Mus musculus: one gene and its partners. The protein of the gene in region 2 purifies or fractionates together with the protein of the main gene of each other region. This does not show direct contact. Links are inferred from orthologs where the notes say so. Each region holds a gene or a part of one and is shown on either strand. Other genes may lie near its edges.

Region 1 (4,964 bases), on a different chromosome or scaffold from region 2:
AGAAATAACACCTGTATACATAAAATAGAATAAAATAATAAAAAGAAGCCTGCAACATATATCCTAAATCAAAAATCTCTGCTTTCTAAGAAAAAGAGATAAAGAGAACCAGCTACTTGGGAACCCGAGGTAGGTCTGGAAATTTTAATGAGGGTCTATCTTAAAAATAAAATAAGGCTGGAGATGGCTCAACAGTTAGGAGCACTAGCTGTTCTTCCAGAGGACCTGGGTTCCGTTCCTGCCATGCACTTAGCAACTTATAACCATCTGCCCTCTTCTGGCCTCTGAAGTCACTGAATACACAAGTGGTATACAGACTTACGTGCAGTCAAAATACCCATATAAAAATAAAATAAATAAATAAAGGGCCAGTAGTAGAGGGCTTGCTTAATATAGGAAAAATCCTGTGCTCAATCTTCAGTGGCATTTTGGACCAGGGATATAGCTCAATGCTAAAGTGCTTACCTAGCAGGTATAAGACATCTCCATCATCAAAAGGGGGAGAGGAAGGAAAAAAAAAAAGCAGGTAAATATATCACTCATTTAACTGACACCATAGCCAATAATTGTGATGAAATAATCACCATCATACAGGCAAAGAAAAAAGGTATCCAGTCTATCCTTGCTTTAAGGGGGTGGGAGGGACAAGGAAAAATGAAAATAGTCTAAACAAAAGCAACAGTAGAAAGGAAGGATGGGGGCAGGGATGGCCTGGATCGAAACACATTATATACTTGCATGAATTTTAAGTATTTAATTAAAAGGAGAAGAGGTGGTAATGACAGAACTTTAATGTCCCCGTGACTTTCAACTCACAATGACATATAACTATTTTTTAATCCAAGCCCCCCACACTTGCCGGATAGACACTGATGCCTATAGTAGAAGACACACACACATAAGACACACACACACAAGCCACAAGAGAACGGGAAAAACACAATTTCAACTTGCCTAGTGCTTCAAAACTCAATCTTACTGGGGCAAATTTTTGTTTTTCAGGAAATCCCTAGAAATAAACAAGCCACAATGGAATTTGAACGTACACAATCTTATACGACATGAAACCTGAAAGGTCACTGACTGACTTATCGTGTGGCCTGGGGACATTGTTAAAGGACAGAGCAGCCACAGGGCAAGGCAAGGATCCTTGGACTTGTCCTAGTCCACAGCATTGCTCCACTGCCTTTCCCAGGCCTCCCTGTACAAGGTTATATATCTAGATTAACATAACCTAGTTTCTGATAAATATAGGTTGTCGAAGTCCTTTCTCTCCTTCCAGCCTTCCCTTCCTCCAATTCCCCAAAAGAGCAGCTCAGCAGTGAAACAAGATTAATAGGCTGGGTAGAATACAGTCAGAAAAAAAAAATTATAAGGTCTTAATTTCAAATGGTTCTCTGGAAAATGGCAGCCAGCGTTAGCACTAGCAAGACCACTGTGCCCTCCTTTGCACATGAAGTCAATACTAGCCAGAGTTCAGTAAATTCTAAAGCAGAAAGTCATTCCAGTCACCTCTGCTTACAAGGATGAGTGGTATAAAGACCATTGCTGGCCAGATGTTCATAACATAAGGACAGCAGCAGCCTCAGATTAATTTAGCTTGTCAGAAATAAAACGTTAAAAGCTAAATCCACCTCTGGCTTCTATTTAAATAACTACAAGTTAATTTATTAATATAGGATTATACGGAAAGAAAGAAGCCCAACAGTCTTACACCCAACTGTTATGAAATGCCAGGACATTTTGGAAAACTTAAGCCCAGGAGGAAAGAAGAAAAATGGGGATGCTATCCTCCTTCTGAATGCCCCTTGTCTAACATGGTTCAAATGTGTGCCTTGAGACGAAAGCAAAATCTTTTCCAGAAGAAAAGGATGCGAGGGACCTCTCTGATCTTAATTCATCAGGATATTTACTCTGTTTTAATTTACCACACAACTTGACTGAGCTGTTTGCAGCGCACACTCCCCTCTCTTTCTCAGGGAGTCTACCCTGCAAGGCACCTACTCAGTTCTCAGTTTACATGCCCGCCCGCCTCACTTAGTCATCACTGGAATGTGTTACCGATGGCTGCACCTACTTCACCTGCCGCTTTCTATTATTACCTTGTAAGTGCACCCTAAGGCTAAGCAGTGAACTGCACAGGAGAGCAGTTAATAATTTAAATTGTTCCTCTCTAAGAGACCACCTTCCTTCTTAGTCACTAGCCTTACTGAGCTTACAGTGTGTTCTTTGTCTTTTAAACCACAAAGGTTGCAAAAAAAAAAAAAAAGTTTGGCCACTAAAATAAAAGAAAAAAAAATCTCCCTTCTAAAAGTAAAAAAATTCAGCGAAGCATCCATGACACATTCACACTGCTTCATAACTAAATTGCTTGAGTTTAATAAGAGCCTTCTCCTAAAAAGAGGGCTGCTCAAAAAGCTAATACATCCTGTGAATTCAAAGAATAAAGAAATAGCAGGAAATTCCAGGGTTTTGTTTTGTTTTTTTTTTTTCACTTCTAGTAGAATTTACAGCCTTGCCCAAACTAGACTGCTCCTGATAACCCCAGGGAATATAGGGAGGGGGGAAAAAAAAAAGAAAAACAAAATTCCATGCTAAGATTTATTTTCCCCTCTTACACAGAGGGTGGGGGTGGCCTCAATTATGCAGGTTTCTCCTTCCTTCCTCGAAGTACAGTTAGTCCCCATTCTCTTTATCCACTTCCCCAGGTCAAGAAATCTGTCCAATTTTCACTAGGTAAGGAGAGATGCCTCTTAACCCCAAATACGTGCGACAAGAGAGGTTTCAGTGACCAAACGGTCGCGGGAATCCCTTCTCCCTAGTCGTGGAGACACGTCGGAGCTTCTTTCTCAATGAACAGATGTCAAACGGGAGAGCTGGGTGGTTCTCCCTCGGCCTCCAGCGGCCACACCCCTGGCCTGAGCCTTCCCCAAGCCGGTCTTCGGAACCTTGCTTCGCTCCGAAGCCCCCAACTCCCGCTGCTACACCGGAGCGCAGCCCCAGGCCACCACGGTCACTACGATGGAGGCACTTTCTCCCAGCTTTTCCCTCACAACGGTCACACCCGAGGACTCCTTCCACCCTCAACCGTCACGCTCCTCGGCTCTCCTTTCCTCCTGAGCCTATGACCCGGCTTGGGGCTCCCCTCCCTCACAAGCACCGCGAGTCAGTCAGGGCACACCCCAAAGCCAGCCGCCTTGAACTCACCGGAGGCAAGGGCGGGGTGGCGGCGGCGGCGGCGGCAGTCGGAGAGCACAGCCGGGGTGGTGGTGTAATGGTTTCCTGCCCGTCACGATTCTCTCTAGATCTAAGCCACTGCGCAAAACCCAATTTGCCAGGGACAAAGATGGTGAGCCGGAAGCTTTGGCGTAAGAGAATCTCGCCGCCTGACGTCATCTGGGTGCGCGGGAGAACCAAACGGCCAGGTCGTGTCTGTCGCCTCAGCAACGGAAAGGTTTCCCTGTCTCAGGGATAGGGCAGTTGCCTATACACTCAGGAGACCCGCAGTTGCTTTCCCACCGGATATCTTCAATAAGTGGGTATTTTCGGGATTTATTCCCGTGAACAAGATTTTTGTGAAACCTGTGTGAGATATCCTATTTGCTCAAACACAAACCTCAGCTAATTTGCTTGTAAGGTTAAGAAGCCCATAGAGGTGATAGAAACCAGGACTACAGACGGACGGATGAACTAGGAGACGGCGACTCAAAGATGGCTAAGAAGCATTCAGATCTGAGTTTGAATCCCTACATTGAACAAGACTGGAGAAACTTATTAGCGCCCCCTTCCTGCCCCGCCCTTAGGCTTGAGTGGTATAAGGTACCTAAAACAGGTTGTGGATACAGGTTTCATTAGGAAACTATAAACTGGTACAGGCGTTTAGTTACCATGTCCAGCTTCAAAAGAAAAGAAAGACCAACGTCGGGCTGTGTAACTCAGACAAGCCTAAAACTAAGCCCTCTTGCTTCTTTCTGCCTCTAGAGCACTTTGAACTTCTCTATCTATATACCTAGACTCCAAGGCTTAGTGGTGCTTCTAACCAGGCACCCCTCACTCTACTATTGAACAATCTTTTTTTTTTCATTTTGTTTTTTAATGTGCATTGGTGTTTTGCCTGCATGTATGTATGTGAGAGAGTGTTCCCCTGGAACTGGAATTTCAGACAGCTGTGAGCTGCTATGCGGGAGCTGGTAACAAAATCCAGGTCCTTTGAAAGAGCAGCTAGTGATCTTAACCACTGAACCATCTCTCCAGCCGCCAGATTTGAAACTTAAAAAACTCATGGTAGGACTGGAGAGATGACTCAGTGTTTAAGAGCACTGGCTGCTCTTCCAGAGGTCTTGAGTTCAATTCCCAGGCAATCCCATGATGGGTCACAACCATCTGTAATGGGATCTGATGCCCTCTTCTGGTGTCTGAAGGCAGCTACAGTGTACTTGTGTACATTAAAAAAAAAAAATAAATCTTTATATATTAAAAACAAAAAACTCAAGGCAACTGGGTGTGGTGGCACAAGCCTTTAACCTCAGCAATCAAGAGGCAGAGGTAAGTTGATCTTTGTGAGTTCAAGGCCAGCCTGGTCTACAATGTGAATTCCTGGACAGCCCGGGCTACACAGAAAACTGTCTTTGAAAAACAAAACAGATGACTTAACCCAATTACATTTATTTACTGAGCATCTATTAAATAATTTCCTATGTAACTTACATTTAATATATACTTAAGATCTCCAAACCTGATGGTCAGGCTTAGCCTTTAATGCCTTCTAATAGAAAGGTTAATCATGTGCCTTCTATTAGACTACACATTTGAGACTGGGGTTTTTAATGCATTATTTGGTAACTAAAAACTGGCACATTACCAAATTGAAATAAAAACTGACACTATTTTTCTTTCCAGAACTGGGAAAGGATCCTAGGGCTTCACACACGTCCTACCACTGAGTTATATAACCAACCAGGACA
Region 2 (5,020 bases):
CTGCTGCCTTCTGACTTCTGCACTCTGTGACACATGCACACACATTCTTGTGTGCAGCATACATGCACAACAATAGTAGTAATAATATAATAGATGCTTTTTAAAACAGGTCCAGGAAATGGTGAGCTATCTTAGAGAAAACATACACACACGATGTAAAAAGGTTTAACAACAAAAACAAATCCAAAAATTGACCCTAAATCTGTCCGACTATAGGATCTGTGGCCATAAGCACACTACTATATGTACAAATGAATTTATTTTCTTCCTACACTGACTAGCAGTTCCCTAAAGGCAGACATCACGGCTGGAGATGTAGCTACCTGGCTACCTTGCACAACACAAGCATGATCTCAGCACCTCAATGAAACCCACTGGCTAATTTTAAAAGGCACGCATCACACTTTAGAGTTTCTATCTCTCACCCCTTTTAAACCTTAGCAGTGTCTTTGAACTCAGTAGTGCCACATAAATACTGACTCCTACATAGTCACGTACTTCAAAGGCCACAACTGAAGCTCAATCATAGCCAAAAAATTTGCCAGACCAAATTTTAAATGCTACACTCATGCACAGCCTCAGCCCGTGCTGTTACCACACTCGCTCATTCCACAAAACGTGTCTTAGCTCCCTAACACTGAGGGGCCCTAAGGACAAGATTTGTAGCAACTGATCCGTAGGTTACTCTTACGGTGACACTATCACTAACTGTCCATTTTCTATCTCTTCAAACAGCTCTGAAATGCTAACATCTAGTTAAACATCATGTCCCCAGAGCCTAGCACAGAACTGGCCACATCACAAGCACTCTGTGACTGTTGGCTGAATGAATAAACGAATGAATCAACAGATCCAAGCCCAAAGTTCTACTTTTTAAAATATCAGAATGCACAATGTGCAGCTCTCAGGATGAATTCCAGGGAAGCCTAGAAAACAAAGGCTGATTCTGTGTTTTCTCTTTCCCACCACTCTTCCAGACTCAGAGAATAAGCAAAGCTTAGGGCAACACGTGATGAGAAAACATCCTAGCTGAAAAAAATGTTCCTGGGCTCTGAGGCCATCCTCCTGATCTCATCTCCTTCCTCATTCTCTCTCTCTCTCACCCCCCTCTCCCTCCCCACCCCCCACTGTAGTCAAGGACTTTGGCTACAGGATAAGAGTCAGCTCAGATTCCAAGGTACAGATCTGGCAGCAGACATAGCAGCATCTCCCACCCTGCACCAGAATCCTCAAGGAAAGGTTCAGAAAGGATTGTAACTCAGGCCCAGATTAAGTCCAGTCGGAACAATACTAAGAATGGAAAATAAAAAATAAAAAAAGCAGCAGTAATTTACAAGGAAATTATCAGATATCTCTTCAAAATTGTGCTTTTTAAGTATAGGCTTCAATGTATCCTCAGAAACTGGGCCTTGCCAAATCCAGTACTTACACAAACTAAGTCTAACACAGCTTTGGCCTCTTCCCACCCACCCGTCCACCACCCTACAAGACTCACCATGACAGGCAGTTCCTAGGCCCAGGTAGAGGTCCTTCCTTCAACCTCAGCTTGCAAAAGCCTCCTTTTCGAAGGGGCTGCTTAGCTCTCATTCCTCCTTCCCTCGCTGATAGACTAGCCTCTACCACCATGCTGCCTTCACTGAGGCCTCCCCCAGACCCAAGCCTTGGCAGGCTGTAACGCAACCTACAGCAGACTGGTCCTATCCAATTAGTTTAAATTGCTTCATGCCAAGGAAATTGCTGCTTTTATTAAAAATAAAAGCACAGTAAGCAGGCAATGAGCTGTGAAAAGTATCAGTCTGGCATAATTACGAAGGTCGAGGTTAAGGTTACCCAAGAAACACTCAAGATTTTCCCTAAAGCCTGGGGCAGAAAAATATGTATCTGCAGGAGCACAGATAGACCAACGAGCACACACCGAGAGAAACCACACAGCATCCTCTCCAACTGAGAGAACACTAAACCAGAGCCAATCCTAAGTCATTCTTAATAGAAACTAAAAGGAGAAAAGAGGCCTAGGCGTCTGAGTTCAAAACCATCTCATTCGCTTATGATTTTATCTTAGCCACATCCTGGGGACCTCACTGCAGTTGGGTAAAGAAACAAACCTAACCAAAACACCAAAAAATGCATTCCTGTCCCCAGAGAAATCCTCTTTGGCTACCTACTTAAAGAAATAGGAAAGTTAGGTGGGAGAAGCCCCCCTCTCCTTTAAGATCTCTCCCCATCCCCACCCTTCAGCCTCCGCATCAGAATTTAAAGTTTCAGGGAAATGGCAAGACCACCACCCTGCATTTCACTTATACTTCACACATAGGATCCGAATAATTCGGTCAAAGGAAGAGATTTCTCCACGCGCTCCCCCCACCCACCCAAATGAAAGGCCACTGAGGTAAACTATTTGGGCAATACTGCCCCCCCAAGCCCTGTCAATTCCCAGTCTGAGTTTTAATTCTCTCAAGGACAATGACTCGCAAGGAAAGTGCAGAGGGGGAAGGGAGGGTCAGTTGGTCAAAACCCATTCATACAACTAGAAACCAGAGTCTTGCCACATCAGCACACGAGATTAATTCACCGCGCACTGGCTTCCCAACATACCTTCCGCCAACACCTCGTCCACGGTGACCTGCTGCCTCCCGATGCCGAAGACCCTTCCGATGTAACCACTGCCCAGGCCTGAGCTGCTGCCCCCTCCTCCGCTGGAGCCTGAACCCAGGCCAGAGCTCCCCTGCTCCCGCCTGGAGTCGAAAAACTTCTTCATCTTTCCAATATGAAATGCCAAGGCAAAATGCCGATGGTTTCTAGGTTCGTATTTGTTGTAAAGAAAAGAGATCTAAGGATTTCTTCTCCGGTTTCAGCCCTGAGCAGAGCCCCGGGAATCCGGCCGTGGGGTGGGGGCTGAGGGACGGCGCCTGCAGGAATAGACTGTCAATCGCGCGGCGGGTCCCCTCCTCCTCGGGGAGCGATCGTTTAAGTTTAAACCTGCGATGACAGAGGCAGAGAGAGGATGAATCAGTAACACACTCCAGAGCCTAACTGCCGGGTCCTAGGGAAAGCACAGGCCGTCATCCAGAGGAAACGCTGCGTGCATTTTCTTCGGGAAAGCCCTGGAAACGCACCGGACCCCTGCCCGGACCCCCGCCCCGGGCCCCGGACACCCACTAGCGGCCGCTCGGCGGCGAGCCCAGCTACCAGCCCCGCGACATGGCCACGGCCGCCGGCCTGCGACACGAAGGAGGCGGCGCTGCCGCAGAGCCGGGGCCGCTTCGGCGCCCGCCCGCCCGCCAGCTGATCCCCGAGCGCCGCGCTGAGGCCGCCCCTCCCCCGCGCGCGCGCCCGTCGGCTCCGACCACCCACCCGGAAGTGACCTGCCACCGGAAGTGCTTCTCAGGGCCGCACAGCCCCTTCTCAGGGGCCGTCTCAGGTGCACCAGCTATAGCTACAGAGCGAAAGAAACCGATGGCAAGAAGGGAACCAGAGCAGTGGAACTCGGGACAGAGACACTTGGAAGAGAGCGTTGCCGTAGTCCTGCCGCTGAGCACCCTGGGAAGAGTAGTTCGGGGTAATCTGGCATCTGGACTACAATTCCCAAGATGCCCCGGGAGCGAGCGCACCTTCGGACGCCGTCTCCAGGGACTGGAGATGATAGTGGAGTGGTGCAGAAGTGAGGCTTCGGGTATTTAAGTACATCTGCTAAAGTCACCAGAGACTAGTTTTCCAGCTGCACGTCCCACTCTCTGTAGCCATTTTATCTATGGCTTGGCCTCATGGACAGAGGCACTCTGGGAATTGTGGTTTCACAGGAGTCCGGACTGACACCTGAAGGACGCGGTTTAGCTGCCTCGCCCCAGTTGGGTTTGGGAGTTCCCCGACGTCATGGGAGCGGAGGTACTGAAGGCTTGGGGGCTGGGGAGAAGTGGGTATGATGCCAGCAGGGAGCCGAGCGGAATCTCGGTGCTGAAGGAAACAAAGCAGGTGTCTTCCGGTCCCCGACCACGATGAGAACTGAGAAGCCTGAGGGTCGAAGAAGGAACTGCGGGAGATCCAGTACACGGAGCATCTAGGGACCAGGCTACATCCATCCTTGGGCTCCACCCCAAACCATGGCCCTCTGCCGACCCAGATTTGCCTGGTCCTTACCAGATATATTCACGCCTTTAAAGGGAACTTTAGACACACCTACTGCTTTCTCTTCAGAATCTTTCGCAAGAAGATGCTGTGTTTACTAAGGATCGCTTGGGTGCGGATAGAGTACAGGGCTGTGTGATTGGCACCTGTCAAATGCTAAGGATTTGGAAAGGAATTGAGATCTCTCCTCCTAGATTGCTTCACAGAAGATGTTGTTGTCGTGCCAAATCCCTGCCTCCCCTGCCCTCTCCCCCAAGAAATACATGGTTTTTTCTCTTTTTTGAGTATAGGTTATTTTTCCACCAGCTCCCCACACTTCTTAAAGATGCAACTACCCTCTTGCAGTTCATCCCAGAATTTCTACTTCAGGCACTTGAGGAAGATCTAGAAGGGGGCCCCCAGGAAATAAAAAAAGATGGGTCTTGCTGGGCAGTGGTGGCTCACGTCTTTAATCCCAGCACTTGGGAGGCAGAAGCAGGCAGATTTCTGATTTCGAGGACAACCTGGGTTACAGAATGAGTTCCAGGGCAGCCAGGGCTATGCAGAGAAACCCTGTCTTGAAAAATAGAACAAAAAAAGATGGCTCTTGGTTAATCTGAATATTGAGTCCGGCTGTGCTGGCGGTGGCTATTGCGGTTTCTTATTTCATGTGGTACCATAGTCATATAACTCTCCGGAGAGAGATAGCATCTTAACTTCCGGAGAGAGCCAGTATTGCCACCTCAGTTCACACAATCCTACAGCCACCTTAAGGGTGAGACTCAGCACCTGCGGAACATCTTCCTAACTCAGCCCAGGGTGTGTTCTCCTCGCCTTCCTTAAAAGGCTTGATTTCTGTTACAGAAGCTTAGTGTGTGTCTTAAAATAGATGGGAAATCTTAGTGGGCTTACAGCC
Region 3 (5,091 bases), on a different chromosome or scaffold from region 2:
GTTTCACGGGGCTGTTGTCATCAATGGTGTAATCAGCATAAAATTTTAGAAAAATGAATATGTACAGAAATTCATATTTGGATATCAGCTAGACATGCAATAAGGAAAAAGAATTCAGGTTAAGAAGAGCAAACACAGCACAACAGCTGGAGATCAGGTGTTAGCGGGACTGTTCTCCAAGACGGAGCCCTCGGAACAGGAGAAGGAACGTGCAAATGTCTGTGTGAGGTTTCAGAAGGAACAAAGGCTTAGGGCAGGATAGAGCTGCTAGGCCATGGGGAGGTGGCAGGGGAAAAGAGACCAGTGACAGCAGGAATCAGTCCCTACCTCATTGAACCTATCTTTTAAAAATGCACACACACACACACACACACACACACACACATACCCAAACTGCAATTGTGAGTATGAATTGTAAGACGTACTAAGCACTATATGAAGTAGAGTAACATGAAAATATCGCCACAAAGTGGCATCTATAAAGACTTACATAAAGAGCTTCACAGACGTTCATTTAGATTTAGCCTCCAAAGGAGGCATTTGGTGCCAGAGTTCTTCTTTCTGTTTTCTGGGCTGTTTGAGATAGGGTCTAGGTTGGCCTTCTGTGTTCTGTGAGGCTGAACATGACCTTGAACTTCTGATCCTCCTGTCCTCTACCTCCCAAATGGCTGGGATTACAGGTAAGCACCACCACACTTGATCTATGCAGTGCTGGGAATAGAACCCAGGGCGTTGTGCACACAGTGCTCTAACAAATGAGCTATATCCCCAGCCCTCTATGTCTGCTCATTCTTATAATGATGTCCCCTTAATGGGCTCTATGTAACAGAGAATAAAAACCAAACTTGAAAAGCCCTCTGTGTAATCTTCCTTGGCTCCCGTTTCTGAAATACTTCATATTTAATGCTGACAAGGTCGCGGGCTGACTGGTGATGGTATCCCTTCACTAGGAAAGAAAAGGCAGGGGATCAAGAGTTCAAGTCCAGCCTGACTTCATAGAGTTTCAGGAAAGAAATACTTTTAAAAGATTAAAGGCTCGTTAAGGGTCTATGAACTCCAGAGACAGATGCAGATTAAGACTCCCCCCCCCCCACCCCCCAGAGGAAGGAAGGGATGGTGAGCAACAAGAGGGCCTGGAGTTGGCTGAAGGCCTACACAGGTTTCCCGAGTGGATGGCATAAACCGACAGTATTTGGTTCTCGGTGAAAAAAAAAAAAAAAAAAGGTGACTTTTTTTTTCTTTATTTCTATTTTTTCAAACTTGGTTTTACAGAAGACCCGGCTTGGGACCAGATCGAGTTCAGCCTTGGTTTAAGCGTCCACACCTGAGCAAGCTTCCCTGCTTCAGTGGACGGCGCAAAGCGATGCACTTATCCTCGTTAAGTGCAAACCGTTAGGAAATGCTGCACGCCAGAAGCTGCCGCACCCCAGCCCGCAGTGCGACCTGAACCCTCCGCGTCGCTGGGACGCCGGTCGGTCCCCAAGTGCCCCCAGCCTGGGGTCCTCGCGGAGGGCGCCCAGGGCCACTCGCCGCGCCCCGCCGTGCCGCGGGGCTCCGGCCAGCAGGGGGCGCTGCGGCCCGCTCTCCCGGGAGCGGCCGAGCCAGCCCGGTGGGTGTTTCTCTCTCTCTCTCTCCCTCTCCCTCTCCCTCTCGCGCTCTCTCCTCCCGGCCTCACATCCGGGTCTGGAGCGCGGCCGCCGCTGTCAGTGCCGGGCCGGGGCGCAGTCAATGGCGGCCGAGGGAGGCGGAGCGGCGGCCACGCGCAGCCCCGAGCCCCCGAAACTTTAGACTTCGGAAGCCCCACAACTTCTCGGAGGGGGGCGCGTGGGCGGAAGGGGAAGCCGAGGCGGGAAGCCCGAGGGACGCGGCCGAGCCCGGAGCCGCCGCCTCCTTTTCCCCACGCCGAGCTTGCGGCCGCGCACAGCCGCGCGCCACCGCCGCCGGCTGCCCCGGGCCACACGAGCTCGCGGCCCCGCGGGGAGGCCGTGCCGTGCGCAGTACCCCGCCGGCCGCCCCGGGTCGCGGGGCCGGCGCCCGGGTGGTGCATGCGGGGCGGGGCGGCCGCCGGGCCGAGGCGAAGATGGAAGGCTTGACGCTGAGCGACGCCGAGCAGAAATACTACTCGGATCTCTTCTCCTACTGCGACATCGAGAGCACCAAGAAGGTGGTGGTCAACGGGCGAGTGCTCGAGCTGTTCCGGGCCGCGCAGCTGCCCAACGACGTGGTCCTCCAGGTACCGCCGCGTCCCCGGCCGCGCGGGCCCCGGGCAGCGGCAGCGGGAGTGGGCTCCCCCGGGGACGGGCAGAGGCCGCAGGTGCGGGAGCGGGGTGCGCGGGGACCCCTGGAGGGGGAGGGCTCGCCGTCCGGGTGGGGGCGGGGGTCTGCGGAGCCTGCATCCCTCCGGCAGCCTGTGCACTGGAAGAGCAAGGTCCCGGGTCTCTCGGGTTGTGTGTGCATCCTAGCGTCTGCTGGATATGCCTACTATAGTCACATAGCTCTTCGACTCCCGCACAATAGGAAAGTTACGACTATAGGCAGGCAAAATGCCATATGGATTTTTGAGCGAGCCGAGCAGACTCGATGAAGTGAGATTTGTTACGCTTAAGGTATCCAAGAAGCAGGTGGTTTGGGTTTTTTTTTTAGGGGGGGGGTTGTTTTGTTTTGTTTTAAATTTAAGGAAGCTGTGTTCTTAGGGGAGACTAAGAAATTTGAACTTCTGGCTGATACTTGGCATGTAGATAGATGTGAAAAGAACTTGGTCGTAGAATGGGTGGCCGGTGGACAGTATCTTCTAGTGCCCTTCCCGGGAATAGTCAGTGGAGCTTGTGGGTTTGGTTTGGGATTTATTGAACAGCTGGAATCAGACAGCGGATAGTCTCCTCAGTCTGTAACTCTGCCACTCGTAACTCTGTAGCAGCAAGGGTAAACCTTCTTTGTCGCCTGTTTTAGAAGTGCTAATATTTGTGATGAGCATTAATGCTACTGCTTAATGATTCATAGCTGCTATAGTAAGAGCCTGTTTAAACTGTATGGGAGGAAGGAACCGTCTTAAGTTTTCATCCTCATATTGATCCCAAGCCAGTTATCCAAATCTCCAAACACATGGAGATGGAAGTGGATATAATGCAGTGGAAGCAGAATATTGGGCCAGAGGTTTGATTTTACTTTGTTTTGAGACAGCTTATTGCTTTATATCCCAGACTAGCCCTGAACTCAGGGTCCTGTTGCCCCCTCAACTGCTCAGGTGCTGGGACGTGGGTGTGGGCTGGGCCAGGAGTCTCCAGGCTTTTAGAAATCTCATCACTCTGCCTCCTCAGCCTCCAGTTCTCTGAGGCCCATCTTAGAGTGAAAGTCAGTTTTCTTCTAACAGAAACCCTTGTGATATAAAAATTTCTACACACACCTCGAATATAGACAATACCCGAGTGCCTACTGTGGTTTAGGGAGTGAATTCTTTCTCACTTTGCTTTTGTTTCATTTTGTCATTTTTTCTTAACCCTGGGGTGTGGTGGGGAAAGGTGAGTGTTTTAGGTACCAGGGAAGGATAAGAAAGTCTCAGATCTGTGCTGCTGAAGAGGACAACATAGTGACAATTTTAGGCTTTCCCAACAATTCAGATTCTGTGTGGATTCACTGTTTTTGTTTTTATGGCCCTCTTACGATGAGGAAACCAGGTTTAGCTTGGGTTCACACAAAACATCCCATAGTTTGCTGATGGGTTAAATGATATGGGGCTAGTGTCTAATGGATTTGGTACAAAACTTACAGGTTCTGGACAAGAAGCCCCCCATATTCTATTTTAGCTCATGTCTTTGGGGTTCAGAGTTAACTGGAAATGACTTTGTCATTCTAATGGTACACAAGACTTTTTTAGGGTGTTTACATGTTTAGGGCATAGAAATTAGTGTCCATTAACCTCCAGCTGAGATATGTTCAATTGAATCCAACTTATTTTCATATTTTACTCAATTGTATTGGCATTTGAAAATAAATTTCTATTATCTTTGTACATAGGTAGCTTAAGTCGTTTAAATATTTGGGATTCAATTACACGTTGGAAATTGTAGGATCCCTGAAGCAAGACTTCCACAGTAACATGATCAGGTTGACGATCCCTGACCAGGATATCTGCAGTACTCCTAACCTGAAAACTTTGAGGGCCAAAATATCACAAGTGGAAAATTCCATATTATGAAACTTTCTTGTTCAGAATTATCATTCTTTTAAATTGACTCTCAAACTGTGGGACTACTGTGCATATGAGATGTAAAGAGATCTCTTCAAACTTGGATCCTACCCCCAAGATATCTCATTGTGTGTACACAAACCTTCAGTTTCAAGCATTGCTGATAAAGAATAGCCAACCTGTACTGAATAGCAATCTGGAGTCTTGAAGGCAGCTTACTTAAAATTTGGCCTAAGACATAGAAATGTGAGACTGAAGGGGAATGTGGATTTAGTTTCTCTTATGAGAGTTTGAGATTTTCTGAAAACAGCATTCCATGGCTCTCAGGGAGAAGCATTGGGGGTAATTCAAACATATCCCAGTTTTGTTCTCTTTGTTGAGCTAGATGTTGGAGGTTCAACAGAAGCACAAGGTGCTCTGAGGGCTTTGTAAATTACAGGACCATTCAGGTGTAAAGAAAAGTGGACCTGGGAGAGGCACGTTGTGTTCACAAGCACAAAGGAGATAAAGACACAGTTCAGATGGACTTCTGCGTTGAGATGGGGAGGGGAGATCTGCTTCCAGGCCGAGGAAAAATATGACCAAAGTCATCCGAGCCTTTTCAAGGACTAGTAGATAGTAAGATTTTACCTAAGCTAAAATATGTTTGGAGCTAATGAAACAGTTAGGAAGAGGCCCTATTACTAAAGACTGGGGGCAGGAGACTTCATACATTCAGTAGGCAGCAGTGGAGAAGCTTGGGAAGGTTTTGGCTTTGAATGTAGTGAGCATAGAGGATGGGGAAGGAGGCTCTTCCAGAGGTCTGGCATGGCTGCTGGGTAATGCACACCCAAACCAGAGGGACAGCCCTCGAATGGAAAATAAGGGTGGGTGTCCTTCTGAAGAGCAGCTGGGTTCGTACTGCT
Region 4 (4,440 bases), on a different chromosome or scaffold from region 2:
CAGTGACTTTTCAGCATCACTAGGAACAGGACCCAAGAGATGCATGTGTGGCTGGTACCAGTGTCAGGTGTGGGGCAGAACAGACAGAAGGAAAGGTTACAGGATCTCCCTCACTGTCCCCAGCCACGCCCTTCAGATCAAAGTAAGAACTCTTGACAGGTTAACCATTCCTAAACTGCTTGAGAGCAGTGATGTGGAGAGCGCCCTGCCTGCACTCCAGCTAGGGCTCTCGGGTCTAGAGCAAACAGTAGAGAGAAGATGCCTTGGAGGCAAGAGCACCAGCAACTCCTTCCAAACAAGGGGCACCGTGGGCACCGTGGGCACTGTGGGCACAGTCCAGGAACCACTGAAAAGTTCCCGAGTGAGAGAGGCCACTTCTCCATGCTCAAACACAGACCCTCGTCGTTTACCTCAGAGCATATATGGATGAAGTTATACTCCAAGAAAGCTGAGGTGGGAAACTCTAAGAAAATCATCTGGGGCTTCTCTCTCCTCAGAGTTTTTGTTTCTGTTCTTGTAAATCAGGAACATGCCACAATACTTCTATGTCGACTTACAGAAACGAGGAAGCTAAACAGAAGGCAGCTTCTTTCTCCCTCCACACTTAACATTTCAGCACACACAGCACAAGGGTAGGGCCACAGAACAGGAACAACTTCTTTGGAGTTCATTACAATTTTGGTTTTAAAAAGTCTATAGTTGTGCTTCTATTTGAAAAATGACCAATAAATCCCTTTAGAAATCAAAAGGTATAGCTTGCCTGGGCAAGAAGGATATTTATAACTTCTTCGTTTTCATTCATTTCTTCTTTGGAAACATCCTCTTTTGAAAGACTAGCTATCTCCTGTGCAATCTTGGTTTCACACTCCTGTCAAAGACAACACATGATGAACTGTTCGGCCTACATGTAACACACAATCAACAAATGGTCCTCTTAAATTACAGAAATGAAGAAAACCCCAGCAGCAGTAGGGAACTGTCTGTAATGATGACCGGACATTTGCTAACTAGGCTTAGAATATACTGTAGGTAAGAGCAGGGATGGTGGTACCCGCCTTTAATCCCAGCACTCAGGAGGCAGAGGTAGGAGGAGCTATGTGAGTTCAAGGCTAGCTTGAAGTTCAAGGCCATAGTAAATTCCAGGACACCCAGGACAACAGAAAGACCCCATCTCAAAAAGAAAAAACCAAATCAAACCATAAAAGACTATGATGTGGTTCGAGACTGCAAGGTGGCCCCGTGGCAGACACTTGGTATCAAGAAGCCTTCCCTAGGACTCACACAATGCAGAGAACTGACTCTGGCAAGTTGTTCTCTGACTTCCACACTCGTGCCACTGCATGTCCATACCCACATGCACACGCACACACAAAGAATAAACATTTTAAAGTAAGAAAAGACCATGACATGGTTATCTCGGTCTGTGGCTACACTATGAAAAATGCTTATTTCTGATGAATATGCTCCCTTAATCCTGACTGCATGAGATGTCTTGAAGGGAGCTACTGGGTGTCAATTTCATAATGTAACTAATTTTACCAAATACACATAGTCAAGTAACCACCACCACCCTGTTAGGAAACATTGCCCTTGCTCCATCTGTTGGTGCCCAGCACCACAGACCTGCTCTCAATCCTAACAGCTTCTCTCTCGGGTCTCAGATGAACTGGCTCAACAGGTCATTTCTCTCTAGCTTTATACTTGGCTTTAAGATGCTTCTGTCTGTTATGCTGGTGTGAGTAGTTGCTCAGTGACAACCAGTGTGTGAACTGTGGAGAGCTTTTGGAGCTGCTTGGCAGAAATCTGACATTGGGGTCAGGACAGGGAGGTAGGTTTCAGGCAGGAATCTAATTTTGGGTCAGGACAAGGAAGCAGGCTCAGGTAGGAATCTACTTTTGGGCTAGGACAGGAAAGGAAGTCCAGGCAGGAATCTGATTTTAGGCTAGAACAAAGAAGTAGGCTTAAGCAAGAATGTGACTTTGGACTAGGACAGGGAAGTAGGCTCAGATATCTTGGTCATCCTGATAAGGCCTAGAAACTTCGATCCCGGGGCTTTGTTTATTGCCTTGCTTGTTCCTCGCCTATTTGTGTTTATTGTCTTGCTTTTTCCTTAACCTAGAACTGACCTAATTACTTGCATGTAATTAAAATGGTATAAAAGCAGATTGGTAAAAAATAAACCCACCTCAGTCTCAGAGCTGGTTGGGGTCATGCTGCAATGTTGTCTAATTGTCTTTTTTCTTTTTACTCCTTGCTCTTGCCCTGGAGAACTTGTTGACTGACTGAGCTGGCTTGGTCAGATGGTGCCCAACGTGGGGCAGAAACCTCCAGAGACCCAGGGCAAGAGTTAAGGAGGACTCTGGAACTGTTTGTTCCTGAGGTGTGTATGTGTGTGTGTGTGTGTGTGTGAATGAGTGTGAACCACCCAGAGGGTGAACACGCACCAGTGAGATACAGGTAGTGAGGGCAGAGGGAAGATGGGGAGGCTGGAATGAATGCATCCTAACTTTATACCCTCTCACCAGCTGCAGGGCTCTGGGGCTGCTGCTTTAGCTGTTATGAACAGTCTGCAAATGTTCTGTGAAGGCTTATGGGTTGTGGCTGCTTCTCTTAGAGGATAATGGCTGAGTGAAATTTCTGCACTATACGATTGATAATTACATGGTTAATTTTTGGGAAAGTGCCAAGATGATATCAGGGTTAAACTGGTGCTATATTTTTCTTATTTTCAGTCACTAATCCACTGAATGATACTTCTTTAAGTAATTTCTCCCTCAAAAGAGAAGCCAGCATGAAGGAACCTGAGCATGTAGTTACAAAATAAGTCATCAAGGAGAGGGAATGGTCAGGGAGAGAATACAATTGGTAAGAGGAAAAAGAGAAGATAGCTGTCCCTTGTCATACAACCACACTGCCTCTGATATATGTATGTGTGTGCTCACAAACAAGTATAGTCATGTACTTGTATGCACATTTGTGTGCACGTGTGTAGAAGTCTTTGTTGGGTGTCATTCTTAATCCATTCTCAAACTTTTTTTTTTTTTTTGAGTCAAGGTCTCTCACTTAACCTTGACCTCTAGACTATCTGGCCTTCAAGCTCAGGGACCTCCTGTCTGCCTTCCCAGTGCTGAGATTACAGGTATAAGCCATAACACGCGAGTGCTATGGACTGAATTCTGGTACTTATCTTTGCAAAAGCAAGCACTAAGCAACTAAGCCGTTTCCACAGCTAGAGTCCTTTTATTCAACACAGACACACATAACGAAGAGACACAAAAGCCAAACATCCATCTATGTCCCGGACTCTTCACATAAGGGCTGCTGGACAACGCAATTAGATCAACAACTGCAATCTGCCCTGGGAAACTTAGGCACACATCCAAAGCCAAGCATGGTGGCCCATGCCTATAATCCAGCATGTGGGAGACAGAGGCAGCAGGATCCAGAGTTCAAGGTCACCTTGGCTATAGAACAAACTTGAGACTACTGGCCCACATGAGATCTTATTAAAACAAACAAACAACAACAACAACAAAAAGAGTCCATGAGACAGAGGAAACAAAAGATTGACAGTTTAGTGAGCTGGAGAGAAAAACAAAAGGAAAGGTTCCCTCCCAGATTGAAAACTGTGTGCAGCTACAAGGATCTCAGGCTTGTGCTCTCAACAAGTGCCGTATCCTTGAAGCAAAAGGCCTGAGGTGTTGTCTTCTCACAATGACCCACAGCTCCACTCTCCAGGTCCCAGAGGTGTTAACTAGTGTCCGCAGGCTGTGCTACTCAATCTGCTGCTGGGTCTGCATGTGGCTTGTACGACCTTTCAGAGGTGTGGATTTTAGCTTTGATGTGACTGGGAAACTGAATCCAGACTCAGCTTCACACACTAAAGTAGCACAAAACCACAAGTGGGCCTTGTGCACTCCCAACAAAGCAGCAGGGCCACACGGTTCTTCCCTCCAGTGACTGCAAAGCAGAATCCGTCCTGGGCCTTCCAGCCCTGCATTTCCATTCAAAACTCAAACTTCTCAGCAGTGTCTCTCACTCTTACAGCTCTGTCCACAGACACAAACCAGGCAGGAAATAACAAGATCACCTTTGTAATTAAAAAACAAAAAGTCTTTCTAAACTTAATGAAATATTTGATTTATACCACACTAAAGTATGAATAACACAAAGCAGGAAACATTTGTGTGAATAAATTTCCCACCAGAGAATTTAGCATCAACAGACAGGTATGTTCTACTTTTAAAAGAATATCTTACAGCAGTGTACAGAAGGCTCATCCACACTTCCTGTAGGTTTATTAGACACAAGATGTAAGAGAATAACTCACTTGTCTTTTAGCTTCCCTCAGCTTTCTCTTGAGGGCAGTCAGAATCCTCTGTACTTCCCATAATCTTTCTTCTTTAGATAAGTCCTTTATCCCGCCCTGCAGATCTCGAT

The links.
Region 1: the proteins of Aak1 (region 2) and Ap2b1 purify together in Homo sapiens (affinity purification with mass spectrometry; 4 studies listed by BioGRID and IntAct, with this or other methods). This does not show direct contact. The link is inferred for Mus musculus from reciprocal best matches to the Homo sapiens genes AAK1 and AP2B1.
Region 3: the proteins of Aak1 (region 2) and Reps1 purify together in Homo sapiens (affinity purification with mass spectrometry; 3 studies listed by BioGRID and IntAct, counting the BioPlex papers as one, with this or other methods). This does not show direct contact. The link is inferred for Mus musculus from reciprocal best matches to the Homo sapiens genes AAK1 and REPS1.
Region 4: the proteins of Aak1 (region 2) and Ralbp1 purify together in Homo sapiens (affinity purification with mass spectrometry; 3 studies listed by BioGRID and IntAct, counting the BioPlex papers as one, with this or other methods). This does not show direct contact. The link is inferred for Mus musculus from reciprocal best matches to the Homo sapiens genes AAK1 and RALBP1.

What each region holds. Positions count from the first base shown.
Region 1 is NC_000077.6:83,301,081-83,306,044, reverse strand, and holds the start of Ap2b1 (AP-2 complex subunit beta), read right to left. Parts: upstream 3,349-4,964; 5' UTR 3,208-3,348; intron 1-3,207. UniProt on the Homo sapiens protein: Component of the adaptor protein complex 2 (AP-2). Adaptor protein complexes function in protein transport via transport vesicles in different membrane traffic pathways.
Region 2 is NC_000072.6:86,847,791-86,852,810, reverse strand, and holds the start of Aak1 (AP2 associated kinase 1), read right to left. Parts: upstream 3,307-5,020; 5' UTR 2,759-3,306; coding exon 2,596-2,758; intron 1-2,595.
Region 3 is NC_000076.6:18,053,883-18,058,973, forward strand, and holds the start of Reps1 (ralBP1-associated Eps domain-containing protein 1), read left to right. Parts: upstream 1-2,057; 5' UTR 2,058-2,080; coding exon 2,081-2,233; intron 2,234-5,091. UniProt on the Homo sapiens protein: May coordinate the cellular actions of activated EGF receptors and Ral-GTPases.
Region 4 is NC_000083.6:65,853,332-65,857,771, forward strand, and holds part of Ralbp1 (ralA-binding protein 1), read right to left. Parts: coding exon 4,331-4,440; intron 869-4,330; coding exon 761-868; intron 1-760. UniProt on the Homo sapiens protein: Multifunctional protein that functions as a downstream effector of RALA and RALB. As a GTPase-activating protein/GAP can inactivate CDC42 and RAC1 by stimulating their GTPase activity.